Lepisosteus oculatus: one gene and its partner. The protein of the gene in region 1 interacts with the protein of each later gene in a biochemical or structural test. Links are inferred from orthologs where the notes say so. Each region holds a gene or a part of one and is shown in the gene's direction. Other genes may lie near its edges.

What was found.
Region 2: of the proteins of atm (region 1) and rpa2, one has a biochemical effect on the other in vitro, tested with the Homo sapiens proteins (3 studies listed by BioGRID). The link is inferred for Lepisosteus oculatus from reciprocal best matches to the Homo sapiens genes ATM and RPA2.

Annotation. Positions count from the first base shown.
Region 1 is NC_090700.1:683,060-690,718, forward strand, and holds the start of atm (serine-protein kinase ATM), read left to right. Parts: upstream 1-4,589; 5' UTR 4,590-4,707; intron 4,708-5,381; 5' UTR 5,382-5,412; coding exon 5,413-5,484; intron 5,485-5,798; coding exon 5,799-5,920; intron 5,921-6,640; coding exon 6,641-6,786; intron 6,787-6,903; coding exon 6,904-7,068; intron 7,069-7,254; coding exon 7,255-7,420; intron 7,421-7,499; coding exon 7,500-7,659. Other genes in the region: protein NPAT, read right to left, coding at 45-183, 548-623, 929-1,189, 1,812-1,852, 2,457-2,535, 2,624-2,684, 2,989-3,107, 3,705-3,741.
Region 2 is NC_090706.1:4,816,019-4,823,037, reverse strand, and holds the start of rpa2 (replication protein A 32 kDa subunit), read left to right. Parts: upstream 1-3,952; 5' UTR 3,953-4,100; coding exon 4,101-4,113; intron 4,114-5,037; coding exon 5,038-5,126; intron 5,127-5,661; coding exon 5,662-5,763; intron 5,764-6,447; coding exon 6,448-6,561; intron 6,562-7,019. UniProt on the Homo sapiens protein: As part of the heterotrimeric replication protein A complex (RPA/RP-A), binds and stabilizes single-stranded DNA intermediates that form during DNA replication or upon DNA stress.

The DNA of each region.
Region 1 (7,659 bases):
GACTTTGAGAATCCGATTCCAATGTGGAAGGAGGTGGGACTCACGGGAAAGCTCTCCGAGACGGGCTCCTGCTCTCCTTCGTTTTGGAATTCCTCAGTCTCCACAATGACAGTAGATATCTGGGGGGTCCTTGGTGCTCCGCCCTGTCCAGCCAGCAGCCCACCTCTCCTCCTGGGGGAGTCACTGAAACACCGCACAGCACAGGAGGATCAGGCCTTCCTGTATCCTTTCCACACAGCTCATACACTAACAGCACGCAGGCTGCCAGGCACGGAGAGACCACTACGCCTGGGCCAGCTGCCACCTCAGCCTGAGCTGCAGATTCCACGCTTGTCTAGCAGGAACAAGCAGACAAACACAGGGAAAGAGACACAGACATGGCTCTCAGCAGACATGTATTCTTTGCATACAACACTGCAGAGTTTTCCAGCTGGAAGGATTCAGAAATGACACAGGTGCTGAAGCAACACAAACCAGCAAAGCAGAGAATCCTCTGGGAAAAAACGTTGACTTTAGGAAGGCCACACCTTCTCAGCGGTCTCCTCACCATTTCCTGCGGCCCGGAGACAACTGTCCTGGGCTAAATCTGCGATCTGGAACAACAACCTGCAGAGGGGAATCTCCTACAGGAAACAAAACAAAAGGGGCTCTTAAGGAACCAGTAATCTGCAGTCCTCAGGCAGCCTTTCCATACAAGCTTTCCTCTACTGTACTCAGAATCTGGGCAAGGATTTTTCCTTAAATGGACACACTGATGATCTGTCATTATGAGAGACTAATGTATTGACAAGTACTATTTAACAGGTCAAGATGTTTTTGTAGAACAAAGGCCACAGGACTAACACACAAAAAACTAAAAACCACATGTATAACACAAAACAAAACCTTTAACTACATGTTCACCACGACCCCTCGGTGTTCCACTTACTGCTCACGTTGAGCACAGCCCTGCTTCGCTCCTGGACCTGAGACTGGCTGACGCACAGGGGGGAGGGTCTCGCGTGCAGGGAGCTGTAGCAGATGGGAGTGGAGCACCCCAGCATGGCCTGAGGCACGCACACGGGGCTGGGGCTGGGGCTGTGCTGGCCGGGAGAGGGAGTCACAGACAGCAGCCCGGAGCTGCCCGGAGCCGGCGGGGAGGGCTGAGCTCTCTGATGCCGCACGTTCAGGATCCCATTCCGGGTGCGAACTGCAACATGGGCACACGGGCACACAGCAGGGGTGAGAGCTCCGATGAGCACACGGACACGCACGCAAAGAGAGAAGCGGTGCCAGACACCCGAGAACAAAGATCTGAAAGTACAGGCTGATACTGTAAATGTGCCAAAAGGCAGAGGGGAATAAAAATTCAAAGTCAAGAATGTTTGAGATTAAAAAATCATCAAATCTTTTTTTTTTTTAATATTGAAAGAGCCAGAAGCAATGAATAGTTACAATGCCAACAGACTGTGCAGGATCTGATTCATTATGAAACGATGGTCAATTTTAGCTAAGAAAACAATACAATATGCTTTTCTTTTCAATATGGGAACATCTGCGAATGCAAGACAGAACTTTCCAGAATGTCTGAGACCGACATGGAAGGAGACATTTATAAGAGGGTTATCATAAACATGCAGAGGAAAAAATCAGTTATCTTTTTTCTAAACCTTCAATTTCCCCTTTTCTCCTACAAGTCTGAGAAATCCATTTGACAGACTCATTATGGTATGAAAGACCTGTGGTTTCCTAAAATCTAAAATGCAGTGAAAAGATACCGGACAGAAAAAATAAACTGTATTTAAATAATAAAAATGAAAAGGCCAGCTTACATCTTTGGTTGTTGTAAATGCTTGGAGAGTTCTGCATACACCTAGTGAGAGCAATAGACATCATTAAGCCATCCTGAAAAACAGTTTTGCTCAAAAACATCTTTATTCATTTTACATTTCACTATTCTCATGCCAAGATAATATCTGACAGTCCTGCAAAATTTGGAATGTGTCAAATTATAATATTTCATTTCTTTAGAAATGGGATACTTATGACAGACTCCCCGGTTCCTAGTTTTAAATGTAGTTTCAACCTACGTCCTCTGGTTAATGCGTCACTCTGTTCAGAAGAATTCCACTGGGATGGGTTTGTCAATGCCTCTTTCTGTTGAAGCCTACAAAGCTTCAGTTCTAGTCTGTCTGTGTAGGGTGTACGCTGGTCCAGCAATGTATATGGTTACTCTACCCTGGACTGGTTCCTGAGCCATAGTAGTTTTTTCGTAACACAGGTGACACAAGAAATTGTTTGCATGATGTCAGGAGCTCATGACAGTTTATCTACAAGATTTTCTTCCATTCTGCAGCTCTGGTAAAAACACCGCTGCTGCGACAGTCTCCGGGAGCAAGTTCTTATGGTTGCATATCCTGAAACAAGAGGCTCCATTTACCCCCACCCCCAGAAATCCAGTTAAAGTTTCCTTTTACCTGATCTGATTCAGAGTGAAATCTAATTTCCTCCAGAGCGACGTCATCATAGCAGGTACCTGTGACTCCTGGCTGCATTCTTGACAAAAAAAAACAGTTGTATATTAACAAAACATGAACATATGAAGCTCTGAGTCTGAAGTTATTTTAAAACCTCCAGTACTTGCCTTTTGCTTTAATGGCAACGTATTCATTCAGAATGGTGTTCAGGTTTTTCCCAAACAAAGACTGCAAAGACAAAACAACATGATAAAACAGAACGTAGGGAAACATAGGATAAATCTGAGCACACTGCTCAGATTAGAGATGTCTAACACACTGTGTATGCTGTTTTCATGAAAACAAATCTAGCACATGAAACGCAAGCTATTTCATTCAGACAGCTAATGAGAGCTTTAGGTACGGTGAGACTTTCGCAGAGAATAAAGAGTGAAATTTTGCATGTGCATGCCATAAGATGCCGAATTTCCACAAGTCTTTCCATTACAGCGTACAGGGGCGAGGGGCTCTGCTGAGATCGGACAGCACTCACAAACACGCAGGCAGGAATCGCTCCGTCCTCGGTGCTGTGCTCCGCGTACTCCTTCAGGTCCGGACTCTCGCTGATGAACGCCCGGCAAGTGGCAGTCAGGCGCTCCTGTTGGAGATACCCTTGGCGCACCCCAGAACAAACAAGCACTCGGTTTACTTCATTTACTGGAATTTCAAAGCAATATCAACTCACCAGGGCATGCATCCAAAAATACACATCCTTTGTCAATAAGCGAATTATGCACAATTGTTCGGACATGACTGATTTCTGATAACGTCCTTGCAACTGAAATCTTGGCAAGGTCATAAACGCCACTGGAATACTATCAAAATCTGACATCTGATGTACTGGACATTTTTCCCCAGTATTAATAATTTCGTCACAGTCGTTATGGAATTTGACATTAACACGTACCTGGTGTGTAATTTAGTATTTTAGGTGGTAGTACTCCGACCACCGTTGTTTCAGACAGCTTACACCCAGTGGTATCGATATCATGCATCAAATATTATATGCAGTGCTTTCTGTTATCTACACAGTGAAAGACACGCTCTTTAGCTAACCATGCTCTTGTCCCCCAGATACAGGCTCTGGTACAGTACGTGTTGCAGGGGCCCTTTGTGATCAACACAGCTCTCAGCTGCGACCGCAGAGCAAACTCCCCGGCTACACGCCTGTGTCCCGCAACAGACCCCGCTGCGACCCCTCCAACTTACCCAAAACCAGCCTCGCAATGTCAGATGGTAGCAACATGGCTGTTGTGAAGCCTTTTCAACTGGCCCTCATACGCACAGTCATGAAAGAAAACCGAACAGCACACATTTGAGCCGTTATACTTTTTCTCAGCTCAGCTGAACACAACTCCCAATAACACCCACCCGCAGAAAAAGCGCGGAAATTCAGCACGTTTCACCCGGAAGTATTCGCCTAAAAGGCTGCATGGGAAATGTAGTTCGGGTGTTCGGTCAGTCAATGTCAGTACGCGAGACAGGGTTACATGGCGGATAATGTATTAACATATAGTAGCGCTCTTGGGTTCAGAATATTATATAAAACGTTAATTGTGCGTAACAATGGAAACTGGCATAAAATAAATCAGAGGTCCAAACAGATATTCTGTCAGTGGAAATGTTTTTATCAAAAATGTTATTGCAACAATAATATATACAATACAGACAAGAGTTTATATACATAACATCGTCAGGGGTACATAACACAGCTGCATTTTACAAAATAATTAAATGAGATAAATCAAGGTACGCACAGATTGTATATTCTTACGCTTATAGCAAAACGTCTGGAGACATGCTGTGTTTTGAACTGTTCAAATGGGGGTCTCTTCCCAGACCGTTTAATTTTATGTAAGTGTCATGATTAAATTTATGACAAATGATATGATATTCTGTATTTTTTTCAACGGGATTAAAAATACAGTGGCAGTGCGTTTAAAGCTCCAGTCTGCAGCTCCTGCACCAGAGACCCCCTGCCTCGCTGGGACTGGGGAGGCGGAGCTATCTCAGGAACTGGGGCCGTGATTGGCTAGCGGAACCGCCCGTCTTCGCAACGACCCGGAAATGAAGTTGAAGTTGGGGAGGCGCGGTTTGTGTTTGTATTGCTGTGCGTGCTGTGCTGTCTTTATAGTGGACAGTACTTGGGATTTAGTTTAAGTGAACGTCAGAACACGGCCCTGTCGTGAAATAAAGAAAGCTATATAAGGAGGTATGTGAATAGGTACCCAGTTCCCAGCGATTTTTAGATGCGGAGAATCATTTAGTAGTTTAAGATGATTTGACGTCAATTTTAATCAGACTGCATAGCTAGCTTACTTTACTTTAAAGTCTGGATCTTGATCGTATGTTTTTGGTAATACCGTGCAGATCTAAACAAGTGTGTGTAGCTCGCTTGTGATTGTTGAACGTGTACACCTAGCACGGTCATCGCCGATCTATTCTGAAGGCAGACGGGGACTCCTGGACTTGAAGCACCTGAAGCAGTGCTACTCCTGCTGTAATACTGCGTTCTCCGTCCGGCTGGTGTGGAAGGTCATCAGACGGCAATGTGGTCCTCTCATCGCCCGTGTGCGCTGTAGATCTTAGCAGGATCTCAGGGACTGCTCCTTACAGCTCAGTGGGATGGGGGGTTGGGCACTTTAAAAAACGAAACCAAAAACGTTTAAACTGCATTAATGTGAAACCCTTATTAATGGAATGATTTATGTATAGAATCGTTTGTGTTTGTGATCAGAAGGCATACTTTGAAGGGGTGTAATGAATCAAAACAGGCCTGTGTCTGCAACCCGCCCCCCACACACGCTTCTCCAGTTCGATTCTGTGCTCCTGCACTGTCAGTGCGGCGTCAGTACTCGACATCGATTCCCCTGTCTGCCTCTGCAGGCCCCCAGTGCAGCGCCACCCTGAGGACAACATGAGCCTGTTGCTGCATGAGCTCCTGATGTGCTGCCGTGGGCTGGAGAGCGACAAGGCCACGGAGAGGAAGGTAGATGCGTTCACCTCTGTGCAGGACAGGGGCGTGAGTCGCTCAGGAGTGACCAGATCACTTCAGTGCTGATGTTCAAAGGTTCAAAGGTTAATGAGGAAGCTGAAAAAGTCTGAGAATGTAATAAGCTTTCTTTCATTCATACATTTGTTTTTAAGTGAGTAACTTTTGGCATTCCTATGAAGCATTTTCCCTGACATAATGAGTGTTTTGACAATAGTGTGGATTTGATGTATTAAACAGCTGTAGATTAAACAATCAGTTGCCACTAGCAGAATGTTCTTAGGAGTCCACCTGTCAATGTTATTTTGCAGAAAGAAGCGGATAAATTTAAGCGGCTCATCGTGTCTCCTGAGACAGTTGAGGCCCTGGACAGAGCCAGTTCTTCAAGAGCAGCGAAGGGTTCCAAACAGCTCACCTGGGATGCTGTCTTTGGGTAGGTGCTCTTAAAATGAGCCCGAATGAATGACCGTGTGTGATGAGTTCATGCCGGTCTGCTCCAGGTCGCATTAGTCACTGAGGATGTTTCCTGTGTGTTAGTTGTGAAGCCTTGTTGTGGATTTTCTGTCACACAGCCTAACTGTGCTGTGCACCCACCCTTTCGCCGATTTGGTTTATACACACACGCAGCCCAGCAGTGCTCCTGTCTGGAACAGTGCTCACAGGGAGTCCTGGAGGTGCTCTGTTTGTAGCTGAGGGGGAATGCCTTGTAAAATGGCGAAGATGCACGTAAAGCCTCTTGCACAAGCCGCAGCTCTCACTGGCTCGTGTAGAAGCCCCAGTGCGCTGTGCTCCTGTGTTCTTGCACTGTACTGCCAGGGCAGCTGCAGGGTCTTACCTGCTCTGTAGCAGAGCAGCACAAGCAGGATGGCGCCTCTGCTGGCCTTGCAGGAGACAATGGTAAACCCACGAGTGACGGCCAGTGTGTAGTATTCTGAACTTGTCAGAAAACAAAAGCCCAGCTCCCCCGTTTTTACCACCAGGCTCTCAGTCGTGTGAGCGGGTCGCGATTTCAGCGGTCTGGCCGAGCGTAGTGACATCTGCAGCGAAAGGGGTGTTTAAGAAGCCCCTGCTGGACGTGCGGTTTAGAAATTGGATGCTTTAATTAACTGCGGCCCAGGCGAATCTGACAAAGCAGCGGCTCTCGTCCCTGAAGGGTTCTGCGCCGGTACGTGGAGAGAGAAACGGAGGCGCTGCAGACTGGGAAGGCCAATGTGTCCGCCACCACACAAGCAAACAGGCACAAAAAAATGCAGGAAGTCAGCAGCTTGCTCAAATTTTTCATCAGATGTGCAAACAAAAGTAAGTGACCATGTTTTAAGTCAACACAGATCTTTGGCAGCTCATTGACCGCTTGCTTAATCTCCTGCCTCCTTTCCCTGCCCGTTGTTCACACATTGGAGCGATTGCCTTTCGCAGGAGGCCCCCGCCTGAAGTGCACGGACCTCCTGGCTCACCTGGTGGGCGTCCTCAGGAGCTCCTTCTCCTGCAGTGCCTATGGAGAGGACTACAGCAGCATCCTGCTGAAGGACATCCTGTCTGTCCGCAAGTACTGGTGTGAGGTCACACAGCATCAGTGGGCTGGTAGGTGCCTTAACCAGCACCTGAGCTCCACTCCATTAAGTGTGTGAGCCCAGACTAATATATTCCCCATTCCGACTTCAGCTCAGCAGTCAGGGTGGAATTAGAGTCTGTACTTGGAAAGATTAACAATGAAATAGAACTGCTGTGCCGTGTTGAAGTGCTGATTCCCTGTGTTCTCCTGTCCAGAGCTGCTGGAGGTGTATTGCGGTTTCTACAACAGCAGCTCCAGTGCCATCAACCGCGTGCTGGTGAGCAGGATCATCCACACCCTGGTGAGGGGCTGCTGCCTGCAGACAGAGGGGCTGGTGCACAAGCTCTTCAAGTTCTTCTCCCGAGCGCTGCTGAACGCCAGGTACCGCACCTCGCTGCTCCGAGGAGAGCCCTGCCCTGCGGTCCGTGACGTCTGAGCGTGTGTTCTGTGCCTCGTGCAGGAGGGAGAAGTACCTGGCTGTCCTGGAGCACCTGCTGGCTGCTCTGAACATCTTCCTGAGGGCCTCGGCCGTGAACTGCCGCACACGGGTCTGCGGGCTGGGGGAGGAGCTCCTGCCCTCTGTCCTGTGCGTCTGGGCCCAGCGGCGGCCGCAGGACCTG
Region 2 (7,019 bases), on another chromosome or scaffold:
AAACAGCCTATTGTAAGCTTTCAAACAGGAATGAGTTGACCTCACAGACAGGCATGACACAAGGAAATGCTAATTAAAGCATCTTAAAAGAACAGCAAAATATACATCTCCGTGTGGGAAAGAGGAACTTGCTGGCTTGCCAAGACAAGGCACTGGAACTTCTTCCCAATGGCTTTAAGGCCATAATTTGTGGTTCAAAAACAGAACTGAGAAAATACCACTCTGTAAATAATTCCCATGACCGTATGCCCTTGAGATGTATTTCCCTTAATGGGTTTCACATATCATTCACTAAAGCAAAACCTCAATACCAAATGGCTGCACTTGTTTTTAATCTTGGTTATGTTGTGCCAAAGCTACATCCAGGCCAGTTTTGGCAGGAGTGGGTAGAGAGCCATACTTGTTTAAATGTTTTAAAAATGATTATGGTTAATGACAGTTGTGGGTCATGTGATTGTGAAATATATACATAACCCCTACCCCCCCTTGGTAAATCAGAAGAAACTCTGCTCATGTAAATATACGTGTGGATATGGAAAGTAGGCCAATGAGTGTAGATTGTTGTACCAACAGAAGCACACAGCTGAGGCGAATACAATATAGTGAGATTAGCTCAATTCAAAAGATCTGTGAGAACCAGGTTTCCTAAAGCATTTACAGAAAAGCCTAGCAGAAAGGGAAGTAAACCTGAAATGATTTTAAAGGAACTATCCCCACATATAAAATGGGAGGTGAATTTACATTTATTCATGCCAGAAAACTCTTCCCCCTCTCTTTTCCTTATATTCTAGAGTGGAGATCTCAGTCACCATGACCTGCTTTCTTGAAGATGAGGAGCAATTGGTATTTATAATTTAATCAAGCAATTAATTAAGTTAAGGGAATTAGTAGGTCTTCAGATTTGTGTTCCAAATGATTTTGAAATATTGTTGTTTCGCAGTGCTGGGGCCCTGGGTTCAGTTGCTGGGGTGCTATCAGCATGGAGTGTATATGTTCTCCGCATGTTTGTATGGGTTTCCTCTGGGTGCTTTAGTTTCCTCCCACAGCTCAAAGACATGCTGATAATGTCATTGACCTTAGTGTGTGTGTGTGTGTCTGCCCTGTGACAGACTGGCATCCTGCCCAGGGTGTAACCTGCTTTGTGCCCCTTGCTTGCCTGGATAGACTCCAGCTCCCCGGTTTGATAAAGTGGTTACAAAATGGATGAATGATTTCTAAATTACTTAATTAAGAAACAGTTTGATTGCTCACAGTTCAGTTGTGTTTTTATGTAAAACATACTTAAAACAAACACTAAGTAATGTACTGATGACTCCTAGACAAGGCTGTATATCTATAGAAATGACTTATAATTCATTTTAAGACTCAACTCCATTTAATAGTTAAAGATCATACTGCTCTGCATCTTAGCTTCTTTGTGTGCGAGGGCTGCAGTTGTACACAAAAGTGGCCGGACTCAGGCCCTTTCTTTCTCCCTTTAGTGGAAGCAGCTGATTGGAAAAGCTTTTTGTCCACGTTTCATTATTAATTTTCCATTTCCTCCGGACAAAGTCATACTATACTCCCTCACATACCAAGCCAAACCTCCAGTCTCAGCTAATTTTAGCAGATCTCCACATTTCCTATAGAAACGTGACCTGTGCTCCTTTGCATCCTTTATTTCTGACTCCTAATTTCCTGTGTTTTCATTTTAATACTCCAAAGCTTCTTTCGGTTACAGAGCCTCCACTGTTGGCGCTCAAATGGAGTGTTCTTGAGTTAAAGAAAGGTTAGTTATTACAGACTGCTGACTTATTATAGATGAGAAAGTCTCTGTTCATTAAAGCAACAGCCACAAACGCTCAAATGCAAATCTTGGTCATTATACAGAACTGAGAAAAACTAGAAAAATAGGTGATGAATGATTTTGGATTCATTAAGACCTTGTATTTTTCAGAACAAAATCTTATATTTAAACCTATTTGTATTTCAAAGAATGATTAGATAAAATGGCTACGGTTAGTTTAGTACAGCATTAACATCTATCTTCAAGCATTCCTTAACAAATATAGGAAAACCACATTCTAGGCCACATTTGGCTTTCCGTTAAAGAGCTACTATCTCTGAAGAATGAGAAACACGGACAGCTCTTTTTCTTTAGCTTTTGATAGTTATATACAAATATAATTTTCATTTTAGCAAGCCAAATTGTACACACCTGTAATTAATGAAAAGTGCAAGAGAAGATAACTTGAATTTGCTTAGTCAGAAGAATTAAAGTCCACTACAAGCAATGAAAGCCATTTTCTCATCTTACCTTGCCAATTGAGCCAAAAGGAAACACACTCAATAACAACTATTCCATTCTCCTGAATGCAATTTTTAAAAATAGCTCGTTCCCATGGCATTTGCAGAAGCCCTTGAGCTGTAATGAATCGCAGATGTTTCCCAGATGTTTTCTGCAGCCCTCAGGCTTCCCAAAGATGCCAAAAATCCACTGAGGATTGAGGGAATTGGTAAACACTGTGACACAGACCCAGAGTTCAGTGTTCATAAAAGGCCAGTCACCATTTGCAACAAAATGAAAGAAAAACTGAGAATTAGAAGCTCTGACTCCTAATGAAGAAGGAAATTTCTTGAAAAAAATACATCTTTAAATATGTCTGCAGTTAACCAAATGACAGAATGAATTATTGTCATATTATTGTTACATTAAACAGATAGCACAGATGTGTACTACAGAAACACACTCCCGAAACATTGTAAGTGTGTTTAAAAATCGGTATGATTGAAGAGATGATCAAATAAATTGAAATAACATGTTAAAAATGTATACTTGGATTCGAGTAGATGTTCTCTACAACAGCATAACAAACCTCTTTTAAATACATTTTACTCAAAAAAACTTTGAGTTTAATTGAAAAAACGTTGACCTCAGTTGTGAATACTGAGAACTGATTAGTTTTGCTTTTCTTCAGATTTATTGTACTGATATTCCTAAAGAGGCAAACGTATCATTGATACATGAGGGTCAGTGAAGGGTTTTCCAGCAGAAGAGATTAAATTACCTGGATGGGAGACCTCCTGCAAAAAACTAAGGTTGCTGCTGGAAGAGGTGTAAGTAGGGTCAGCAGGGGGCGCTCACCCTGCGGTCTGTGTGGGTCCTAATGTCCCAGTATAGTGACGGGGACACTATACTGTAAAAAAGGTGCCTTCTTTTCAGATGAGATGTAAAACTGTGGTCCTGGCTCTCTGTGGTCATTAAAAAGAGTGTTTCTCGAAAAGAGTAGGGGTGTTACCTCAGTGTCCTGGCCAAATTTCCCATTGGCCCTTACCAATCATGGCCTCCTATTAATCCCCATCTATGAACTGCATCACTGTTCTCCTCCCCACTGAGAGCTGGTGTGTGGGGAGCGAACTGGTGCACTCTGGCTGGTGTCGCATCATCTAGATGAGGATACACATTGGTGGAGGGGAGTCCCCACTACCTGGAAAACACCTTGAGTGAAGTGTCCAGAAAAGCGCTCTATAAATGGAAGGAATTATTACCATCGTAATAATTCAGGCCGACAGTCTACGCCTGTACTCAGCTCACAGTATCGGATTCTCTTGGATTTTCCGTCCAATGTATGTAAGCAGTGTCCTCTAGTGTAAGCTCTGGGAAGTCCAGTAATATACTTATGAAAAACATTTTTTTTTTAAAGTTGGTCCTGCCAGACTTTGGTCTGGAGAAATATGCACTAACAATTATCGAGCCTAAAAGCTAAATAAATTATTTTGCCTAAGAACACCACTTTTCATTTCGCCTGCCGTCTTTCCCTCAGTAAGTATGGCTACCCGCTCTGTTCTACGTACCCCTGCATACTTCCGTGAGAAATGAAGGCAAGTGTTGGCAAAATAGTGTCCTGGGCTGACGTCAGAGAGCGCTGTCGTCGCTGATTGGGCAAAGGAGTTCGCGGGAGTTTATGGCGCATGTGCTGTGAGCTTTGTGTCTGGTGTTGTGGCGCGCTTAAAACGTAGAGGAAGAATTCTGCTCCAGGTGTCTGATATAACCAAAACTTTTGAGCTACTAATAGTATTTTTTTTTGTTGTTCTCAGTATTGTTTTAATATATTCTAATCATGTGGAACCAAGGTAAGAGGTGTTAACCTTGTTCGTTGTAAAACAAGCGCTGACGCTTGTTTTAACATCTGATTTCTGGATTAAGCTGCATGTTGGACCGCGGTTTGTTTTGATGAGCAAGAATTTGAAATTTAGTTTGATTTACCTAAAAAATGTAAAGCGGTTTATCTTTTAATTTTCACTTAAGCTTTATTATACAGGATGCTACAAAACACTGAAAGAAGACCGTTATCCGTTTCCACTCGATTTGCTAACCAAATACTTCGAGATAAGTTTGAAAATCCAAAGAGAAATGTAATTATTACCGTGAACTTGGTAGTTGAATGTGAGTCACAGGTATGGGTCAGAACTGTTCTTGCTTATGTACGTAAATACAGTAGTAGTAACAAGACCTGTTCTGAAAGCTCGTTACAGCATCTAATTACAGGTACCCATAGTACTGACAAGATTTATGCGTCCAGTAAGTAAAACGACAGCACTGTTTTTAAGGTCTTTAAGGTAATATTTAGGCGTTTAATGATATTTGCAGTACAGAATTGAGTTTAGATGCAAGTTTAGTTTCAGTTGCAATACTTTGAAGGGACGAGCTCTTCCACTGGGGCCTCACAGTCCAGCTCAGGACTGTCCAGTCCTGGTGCCGGTACCCACTGTCCAGCAGGCTTTATACATCTCATTATGGGTGTAAGAACTGGGACAATCTGTTAAAGTGTCCCAATCTGGCTCAGCTGGGAGGAGCCCTGCAGTGACTGCACCAGAGTTGGGCACTCCTGGTCCACAGCTCTCTGGTCACTTGCTCACTGTCTAGGCTTTAGACGATCTGGTGTTTCCCAGGGAGAGCTGGTAGGGCCGGTGAGCGTGGACACCGCAGTGTGAGGCCGTCAGGACCCTTCTGGTCCACTTGCTGGGTTTCTCTCTGTAAACGGGTCTCTGTCGCAGGTTATGGCGACTCCAGCATGGCGGGGGGTTACACACAGTCCCCCGGGGGCTTCGGATCTCCTGCCCCCTCGCAAGGAGAGAAGAAATCGGTGAGTACACCGATTCTCCGGAAGCGCACCCGGAATAAGAAGGCAGAAACGGAACCCATACCCGCCACTGCCCCGTTGGCATGCGCTGTCTGATCTCCATTGAGGTAGAAGTCAAAGACGGGGGCTCATGCCACAGGAGCAGAAATGTTCTTGTGACTCGGCAGATTTGCACTTTGCCTTGCTGTGCACATTGGTGAAGTGAACGGAGACTGGCCAGCTGTTCATCCTGTACCCACCGAACACAGTGCTGGGGGGGGGGCCCTGGGGGGCTCATCCCACCCCTGCTCTTGGCGACACTTCTCCCGTTGGGCACGGCCACTTGGGACATCCTGGTCACGGCCGGAGTCGGCTTGAACCCGTGACGCAGGCCAACCAGGGGGACGAGGGGTGTGGAGCAAGCACCTTTACTGGTTGAGCCACTTGGGCTCCCAATTAAGTTGACTCGTTTAAATTAACTGAATTAATTGGCAGTGTGGTTGGCCCGCTGCGATGTGTCGGACTGATGTGGCGCCTGTTCTTTCTGCTCGTGCCGCAGAGAGCGAGGACACAGCAGATCGTCCCCTGCACCGTCTCCCAGCTGCTGTCCTCCTCCCAGGCAGAGGACGTCTTCAAGGTGGGCGAGGTGGAGGTCTCCCAGGTAAGGGCAGGTTCCGCTACGGCTCACCTGGGTGGCTTCCCACCAGGCCCTGCCTTGGGTTAAGCTCCTCGTTAAGGGTGTTATCAGGTCCCCTGCAAAAGCTGCGTTTGAGTGTCGTTTCTTTTGGTGCAGTAACCCCTTGGTTGATGTTTTTGTTCTGCCTAAAAACACACTATTATATGAGGGAAAAAAAATATGCATACTATATATATGCTTTCGGGGTGGTTTGACTTGGAACGATTCCAAGTCAAACGCGGTCAATGAAAATTCTTTTTGTGCTTTTTTTGTATTATATAACCTATTTTTTATCGTGTCATAAATAGACAATAAAATTCGCTAAAGCAAGCAAAGCACAAACAATACCCATCATAAACAATAGGCTTACCCCTACAGGGCATCGTTGAGACTGATGGGTAGTATTTTTTTTCTTTTTTTTTTTCTTATTCGTGTATTTCATTGTTAATGTGGGGAAAGTCTGATATTTATAATTTTACAGAGAAATTCTTCTTTAGCGGGTTTAGTTTATTACAACTGAAGTCTGTTAAACCAAGGGTTTAGATTACTTATTGCAATCTTTAATGTAAGGCTTGCTGTGAGGGTGGAGGGTGAAGGACCATGTGTTGCACTGATGGGAAACGCTGGGCTGATTTTGATCTGCAGGTTCACCATCTGGGTGTTTTCTAGGTCACATTAGTGGGGATTGTCCGTAACGCAGAGAAAGCTCCGACCAACATCCTGTACAAAGTGGACGATATGACAGGCCCGCCCTTGGACGTCAGGCAGTGGGTGGACACCGATGTAAGTGCTTTTGCCTGGAATTACATCTTTCATGTAACTGGATGGAATTTTCTAATGCAGATTCTTAGCATCCAATATGGTGTGAGAATTTCTGATGTTTTGTAGTACTGTTCTTACTACTGTTCTTTTTTTGTGATTATTTTGTTTTTGTTATTGACGGCACTTTTGAATATTTGAATTCCTGTATTATTTTTTAATTGTCTCATTTGTATTGACTATTTTTTATTTCTTCCAAATCGCCAATCCCCATAATGGACTCTTTATTTTCTCTTAAATGCTCTTTTTTTCTCTTTTAAAACATCAAGATCATCCAGAGTATACAAAAAGAAAAAAAGAAAACAAAGAGTTAAAAGAATCTCTGTCTTTTAAGTCTGGAATTAAAAAAAATATACAAAAGTACAATATAGCTAATCGTGAGAACAAATAAACAACTTTCCTCTTTCTTTTAACGTACCCAA